Rattus norvegicus: one gene and its partner. The protein of the gene in region 1 purifies or fractionates together with the protein of each later gene. This does not show direct contact. Links are inferred from orthologs where the notes say so. Each region holds a gene or a part of one and is shown in the gene's direction. Other genes may lie near its edges. The genes, in order: Exosc1 and Dis3l.

Evidence for each region.
Region 2: the proteins of Exosc1 (region 1) and Dis3l purify together in Homo sapiens (affinity purification with mass spectrometry; 4 studies listed by BioGRID and IntAct, counting the BioPlex papers as one, with this or other methods). This does not show direct contact. The link is inferred for Rattus norvegicus from reciprocal best matches to the Homo sapiens genes EXOSC1 and DIS3L.

The regions. Positions count from the first base shown.
Region 1 is NC_086019.1:250,684,707-250,688,523, reverse strand, and holds the end of Exosc1 (exosome complex component CSL4), read left to right. Parts: intron 1-1,043; coding exon 1,044-1,077; intron 1,078-1,918; coding exon 1,919-1,969; intron 1,970-2,594; coding exon 2,595-2,679; intron 2,680-3,240; coding exon 3,241-3,347; 3' UTR 3,348-3,774; downstream 3,775-3,817. UniProt on the Homo sapiens protein: Non-catalytic component of the RNA exosome complex which has 3'->5' exoribonuclease activity and participates in a multitude of cellular RNA processing and degradation events.
Region 2 is NC_086026.1:73,704,298-73,708,114, reverse strand, and holds part of Dis3l (DIS3-like exonuclease 1), read left to right. Parts: intron 1-2,706; coding exon 2,707-3,240; intron 3,241-3,817. UniProt on the Homo sapiens protein: Catalytic component of the RNA exosome complex which has 3'->5' exoribonuclease activity and participates in a multitude of cellular RNA processing and degradation events.

The DNA.
Region 1 (3,817 bases):
GCTTGCCTGGATGGAGGCAGGAACATGAGAAGTTGAAAATAAACCTTGGCTACATAGCAAGTTTGAGGCCAGCCTGGGCTGCATGTGACCCTGTCTCAGAATGGACTGAGGAAAGCGGTAGACCAGCAGCACTGGGATGCATGAGACAAAGTCGAGGCCCGTGGGACACGCCTTCATGTTCTTTCTCTGTTCTCCCATTATACTTATTATTACTGTGTGCCATCTGTGTGTGCCGACCCGTACTGCAGCACACACATGTGTGAAAGCCAGGACAACTTGATGGAGGCAGTTCTGCCTCTGTCCACTTTGATGCGGGTTCCATTGGGCTTAAACAACACACTGAGCCCTGAGCCATCTTGGCTATCCACCTTTGTCATTCTTTATTTTAATTTTGGGTTTGATTAAACCCAAGGGTTGTAAGAAAAACGTTAGAGAGGGCCTGGAGAGATGGCTGAGCTGTTAAGAGCACTTGTTCTTATAGAGGACCCAAGTTCAATTGCCAGAACGCACATGGTAACTCCAGTGCAAGGGACCAAATAGGCATGCGTGTGCTGCACATACATGCACACGGGCAAAACATTCATACACGTGAAATCAATCTTTAAAAAGAAGTAGCAAAGGTTTGTAGGTAAAATATTATGTGGCTTCTTTGAAAGGAAACAATTATGCAGTAATTGTAGACTGGATAATTTGGTGGAGGTGGTTTGGTCTGATTTGGTTTCATTTTTGGTTTTTTTTTTTTTTTTTTTTTTTTTTTTTTTTTTTTTGGACAAAAGTCCTATAGTCAGGCTATCCTTAAATTCCATATGTAGCCAAGAATTACCTTTAATTTCTGATAAGCCTTTCAGTCGCCAAGAGTTATAAATATTATTGTTCTGTATTGTCCAAGAAAGGGTACAATTTTATCATTCATGCTAAAGATGGCTCTCCATCCTGTGGCAGTTGGGAACCAAATATGGCCTACTCTGTCTGCTTTCAGTCTTTCCTTCTCAAATAACTAATCTTACTTTCTTTGGTTTTTTTGTTTGTTTGGTTTTTTTTAGCAAGGAAGATATTCGAGCAACTGAAAAAGACAAGGTTGGTGATTAGTGGTTTGAGCGTTTGTTCCTATGACTTTAGGAATCTTGCTTTAAAAATTATTATCCCCAGGACTCAGCCTTTTTAGAGCCATTACTCTTTGTCCAGAGGAACCAGTTTTGTTCCCAGCACCTATACAATGGATAACAACCCCCTGTGATTCCAGTTTTAGGGCATCTGACAACCTATTTTAGCCTCCACAGGCACCCACATGCGTGTGGTATACATACATTCACTCATGCACACATATATACACATTTAATAAGTAAATCTAAAAGAAAGGATGATGGATGGATGGATGGCCTGCCGACCAGCCTGGATTGATGCATACTCACCTTTAACTTCAGCTCTCAGGAGCCAGAAGCCTGCAGACCTCTTGAATTTGAGGCCAGCCTTAGGATGGTTAGAACTACAAAGACCTTTTCTTGTAGTACATTTCTACTATAATATGAAATTTAGATCTCTGTCCTTTCTTCCCATACAAGATGTTTTTCAGTTGACTGAAATAAGGTTAGGCTGTTACTCTCATTTAAAAATTATTAGCCAAGTATGGTGGTAGGTGTCTATAATTTCAGTGCCCATGAGGGAGAAGCAAGTAGGTGACCCCCTGTGTGTTTAAGGCCAACATGGTTTACAGAGCAAGTCCTAGGCTAACGAGGGCTACATAGTAAGACCCTGTCGAAAAATTAACCAATTAATGAAAGGTATTAGTAGGCTAGGGAGATGGTAAGTGCCTGCTGTGTGAACATGAGAGCCTGAATTTAGGCCCCTGGCTCCTCTGTGTGGTCAGTGGTGCCATCAGACCTAGTCTCTGTCTATTACTTCTCTTTGTTTTTTGCAGGTAGAAATTTACAAGAGTTTCCGGCCAGGTGATATAGTTTTGGCCAAAGTTGTATCCTTTTGAGGTGTTTGTTTCTTTCTTTCTCTCTCTCTCTCTCTCTCTCTCTCTTTCTTTCTTTCTTTCTTTCTTTTTGAGACAAGGTTTCTCTGTGTAGCCCTGGCTGTCCTGGAACTTATTCTATAGACTAGGCTGACCTTTGAACTCATAGATCCACCTGCCTCCTGATTACTGTGATTGAAGGGGTTCACCACCACTGTCCAACCAAAGTTGCATTCTTGGTTCCCCAGTTTTCTAGTTATCAAAAGAAGAAATGGAACAGGGCATGATGACAACATATAATCATAATACGTAGGAGGTGAAGACAGGATCAGGAGTTCAAGGCTGGCCTGGATAAATAAAACCATATGAGAAAAACAAGCATAAAAACCCAAGGTTAAGGGCTGGAGAGATGGCTCAGCAGTTAAGGGCACTGACTGCTCTTCCAGAGGTCCTGAGTTCAATTCCCAGCAACCACATAGTGGCTCACAACCATCTGTAACAGATTCTGGTGTATTTGATGACAGCTACAATGTATTCATATACATTAAATAAATTAAAAAAAAAAAAAAAGCAAGGTTAAGTAGTAGAAGCAACAGCACTTAGAGCCTCATTTCCCTTCACTGTGTGGTGTGACTAGATCTCCCTAGGTGATGCACAGTCCAATTACCTGCTGACGACTGCTGAAAATGAGTTAGGGGTTGTGGTGGCCCACAGTGAGTCAGGTAAGTCCTTGTTCCCAAGTCCCTTTTCCTGGGAACCTGGGTTGACTGGGAAATAATAGGGACACACATACTTATATGTGATAAAAAACAATATTAAAAAATATAGAAAATCAATTATGGATATCACATACCATGGTGGGTCCAGTCCCCAGCATCTTCCAGCAAAACAACAAAAACAGAAACAAAAAACCACAAGGTAATGTCACGTTGTGATGCATCTGTCTTACTGTGTGTGAGTACATGCCAGTGCTTGCCCCGTGATGACATCCCATCTCAGCATGTCCCAATGGTGGGGAATGTATAGCTCAGTTTACTGAGATTAGGTTGATCCCCTAAAGGTCAGAGATGAGGTAACTGCCCCATGTATCATGGAGTAAGTAAGGTTTCTTTCTTTTCCCTTAGAGAAGTGTTCCCTTGGTGCTGGGGATGGCACCCACGGACTTCCATATGCTAAGCAAGCTTTCTTGAACTGAAGCCATGTCATGTCTGGCTGAAAAGAAAAGAGCCTCAGCAGAGTATCTAGAGTCACACCTCCAACTCTCGTCTTTGTTTTCCTTCTAGGTGTCCAGATGGTCCCCATCAGCTGGTGTGAGATGCAGTGCCCCAAGACCCACACTAAAGAATTCCGAAAAGTAGCCAGAGTACAGCCTGAGTTCTTACAAACCTGAGCTCACTCTACCCACAGAGGGGGTCCACTCTCTAAAAGTACATGTGTGAAAAAAGCGATAAGATGCCATGGTCTTTACTGAGGTACCTGCAGTCAGCTGGCAACCATCTCCTGAAACAGTGTGCCCAAAAATAGTCATGCCGTAATGAACACCCAAGGCTCCCGCAGCTGAGGCAGGAAGATCGTTCGTGCCCAAGTTTGAGGCCAGCCTGGGCTGCATAGTAAGACTCTCAACCAAAAGACAAAAAAGAAAATGTACACTATTTGAAACACTATTTTGGGGAAACTGATTTTTATTCTCTGGCTCATGAATCTCATTTAAAGGCACTCAACCAACAAAATCATGTAATATTGAAAATACCTTATGCCTTTATATATGTGTACATATGTATTTTGTTATGACTGGAAAAAATTCTTTTCATTTGTTAGTGATATAGTTTTCTTCTTTGCGCACACGTGTGTGTGTGTGTG
Region 2 (3,817 bases), on another chromosome or scaffold:
GAGTCTGATTTCACCTTCAGAGCTGTCTGCCTTCAGTGTGCTCTCCCTCCACCCACACCCTGCCCACTGCCTTGGGAGCGCCCTCCCCTCCGACTTCTTCCCTCCCAGATATGCTTTCAGGGAGCTTTATTTCCAGCCTCCTCCTTTCTCTCTGCTCTGATGTTAGCTTTCTGAAGCCATCCACAGGCTGAGGAGAACTTAGTAAGCTCTCCAGTGGATACTGCTCTTCAGAAGGCCCCTGGGCGTAGGGAGTTTCTGTTTATTAGTGCGCACGTAAGGCAGCCACTCCAACACTAGGAAGCTCCAAGAGATCAAAGCACCTTCCTATTTTTTCCTGGGTACTGAATATTTTTTTTCCATTTTTAATACACACAGATATGGATGTGTGTAATTTTTATTTTTTTATAAAAATACTAGCATACAGTTGATATAAATGGGAGACTCCCATTGAAGGGGTGCTGGCCTTCCTGAGCAAACTGCTTCTGTTTCTAACCCAAAATATCTATGTTATTCAGCACTTAGATTTTTTTTTTTTAGACAAGGTGTCAGGTATCCTGTTCTCTAACTACTGGAAGCCAAGGATTACCTTAACTTCAGATCCTCCTGCCTCTGCCTGCGCACCAACGTGCCTGCTTTATACGGTGCTGGGACCAGCCCAGGGCTCAGTGCGAGCTAAGCAAAGCAATTTAGCAACTGAGCTCTAGCCACAACCCCTCTGTTCCTTTTTAAAAAGATTTATTTTGTGTTATGTGCCTTGAGTGTTTTGCCTGCATAAGTACCATAGAAGTGTATCTAGTGCCTGCAGAGGCCAGAGAGAGTACCAGATCCCCTAGAACTGAACTTTCAGACAGTTGTGAGCCACCATGTGGGTTCTGGGCACTGAACCCAGGTCCTCTGGAAGAGCAGTCAGTATGCTTATCACTGAGACAGGAGACTCGCCAGCACTGGTTTTCTCTCTCTCTCTCTCTCTCTCTCTCTCTTTCTTCCCCTCTCTCTCTGTCTCTCTGTCTCTGTCTCTCTTCCCTCTCTCTCTGTCTCTCTGTCTCTCTTTCTTTCTCTCTGTCTCTCTGTCTCTGTCTTTCTTTCCCTCTCTCTCTGTCTCTCTGTCTCTCTTTCTTTCTCTCTGTCTCTCTGTCTCTGTCTTTCTTTCCCTCTCTCTCTGTCTCTGTCTTTCTTTCCCTCTCTCTCTCTGTCTCTCTGTCTTTCTCTCTGTCTCTCTGTCTTTCTCTCTGTCTCTCTGTCTCTGTCTCTCTCTCTGTCTCTCTCTCTGTCTCTCTCTCTGTCTCTGTGTTTAGATCCACACAGTTAGATTGCACTCACAGAGGTTGCAGCAATCTGTCCCTACAGCAGTGAGTGAAGAGTTTGTTCCCACAGCCTGCCGGTGCACTATGCTGTCCTCTCATGTACATCAGCTTAGACGCGTAGTGTCTTGATTTAAACTTCTGCTTTTCTGCTCTGCACAGCTGAGCGCTGTGGTTAAAGGGTGTCCTGTGTCCTCTCCTGTGAGCCGCCTCACAGTCCTTATTGTTCTCATGTGTGTTTGTGAGTCACTGCTGATTGTAAAAACTCTTTTTTACTAGGAAAATCAGCCCCTCTAAAATGTATGTTATAAATATATAGGTTTTTTTCTTTAATAAAATGTCTCGGTGGCAGAGTGGCTCTTTGCTAAATGAGCTTTTTGTTAATTAACCTATCACCAAGATTGATACTGAGCTGCCTGTCATCTTGCAGGATTTAAAGGCTTTCTTCCATTCCTGGCACTAAACAGATTTGACTCAGTCAGTGCTAAGTTTTCCTAATTAAAATAGAGAGCCGTAAGGTTTTTCATGTTGTGTGGGAACTCACTGCAGAGTTGTTCTGGGTTTAACAGAACCCATTTTGACTTTGTTGTTGACACAGGTTACATAGTGAGTGCTATGTAGCCCTGGCTGGCCTGGAACTCCCTAAACGGACCAGACTGGCCTCAGCATCACAAATGTCAGCCTGTCTTCACCTTCCAAGTGCTGGAGTTAAGGTGTGTGCCACCACACCCAGCCTGACTTTGATTTTAACATTAAAATATGTGTGTGAATGTGTGAATACAGACAGACAGATGGGCAAGACAAACAAGACAGACAGACGGATAGGTTGTGTGTGTAATGGAGTGATTAAAAAAATTGCACCAAAAGTCTGTAGCAAGGTCATTTCTTTCAAATTTAATTCAAAATCAAGTTCTGCTTGTTTCTAAAATAGAATGGAATTAGACTGGAGACATGGCTCAACGGTTAAGAGCATTGGCCACTCTTCCAGGGAACTCCCAACAACCCAGGCTGATTCCCAGCGTCTACACAGCAGCTCACAGCTGCCTGTAATTCCAGTTCCAGGGGATCTGACACCCTCTTCTGGCCTCCTTGAGCAGCAGACACACACCTGGTATTCAGACATATACACAGGCAAAATACCTATGTATATTAATAAAGATTAATAATCTTACAAAAAAGAAATGAAGATGGCTTAGTGGGAAAAGACACCTGTGCTATGTCTGAGTTTGATCTTCAGGACTAACATGGTGGAAGGAGAGAACTGGCTCTCCCAAGATGGCCCCTGACCTCCACATTTGTCACGATACTCACATGTGCAACATACACGTAAACGTACACAAAGTAAATAAATTGTAACTTTGTGAAGAATGGAATAATGATTCTGTTGATGCCCCTCATTTTATAGGTATGCTGTGTCAGTCATGTGGGAATTAGATAAAACCTCTTATGAAATTAAGAAGGTGTGGTACGGCAGAACCATTATCCGATCAGCTTACAAACTGTTCTATGAGGCGGCCCAGGAACTTCTGGATGGAAACTTCAGCATTGTTGATGATATTCCAGAATTCAAAACCTTGGAGGAGCAGAACCGACAGGCCAAACTGGAGGAGTTAGTATGGGCAATTGGGAAGTTGACTGACATAGCTCGCCACATCCGAGCAAAGCGAGACCGCTGCGGCGCCTTGGAGCTAGAAGGTGTGGAGGTTCGAGTCCAGCTGGATGACAAGAAGAACATTCATGACCTCATCCCCAAGCAGCCCCTGGAGGTTCATGAGACGGTGGCTGAATGCATGATCCTGGCCAACCACTGGGTGGCCAAGAAGATCTGGGAGAGCTTCCCCCACCAGGCGCTGCTGCGCCAACACCCTCCTCCACACCAGGAGTTTTTCTCAGAGCTCCGGGAATGTGCAAAAGCAAAAGGCTTCTTCATAGACACACGGTAATCGCCACTGAGGGGGCAGAGGCATGGCAGAGAGTGCCGTGTGTTTATTTATCTTATGGTTGTTCCTAAAATGTGACCTGTAGCCAGGCACATTGGTGCATCAGAGCCTGACGCACCTGGATCACCAGGCTGAGGCTGGGCTGCTTAAAGAGGATTTAAAAACTATGATGTTGGGGCTGGGGATTTAGCTCAGTGGTAGAGCGCTTACCTAGGAAGCGCAAGGCCCTGGGTTCGGTCCCCAGCTCCGAAAAAAAGAACCAAAAAAAAAAAAAAAAAAAAAACCTATGATGTTGCCAAGCACAAGGGCCTAATTCAAATACCTTTGGTCAGGTTAAAATGGTTTTTTTTTTTTTTAAGCGTCTGTCTTCGAGCAACAGAGTCTGCAATGATTGGTTGAGTTGACTGCATGCTGGTCACATTGACCAAGGACTTTCAGACGTCCTCCTGGTTACTCCTCAGAATGCTGAGATAGAGTCCTGAGCGTTCGTTCAGTTTACTGTTGGGAACTTTAGTCTAACGGGGTTAAGTAGCTTGCTCATAAGTTACCCGTTGGCCAGGCAAGATCAGGATTTCC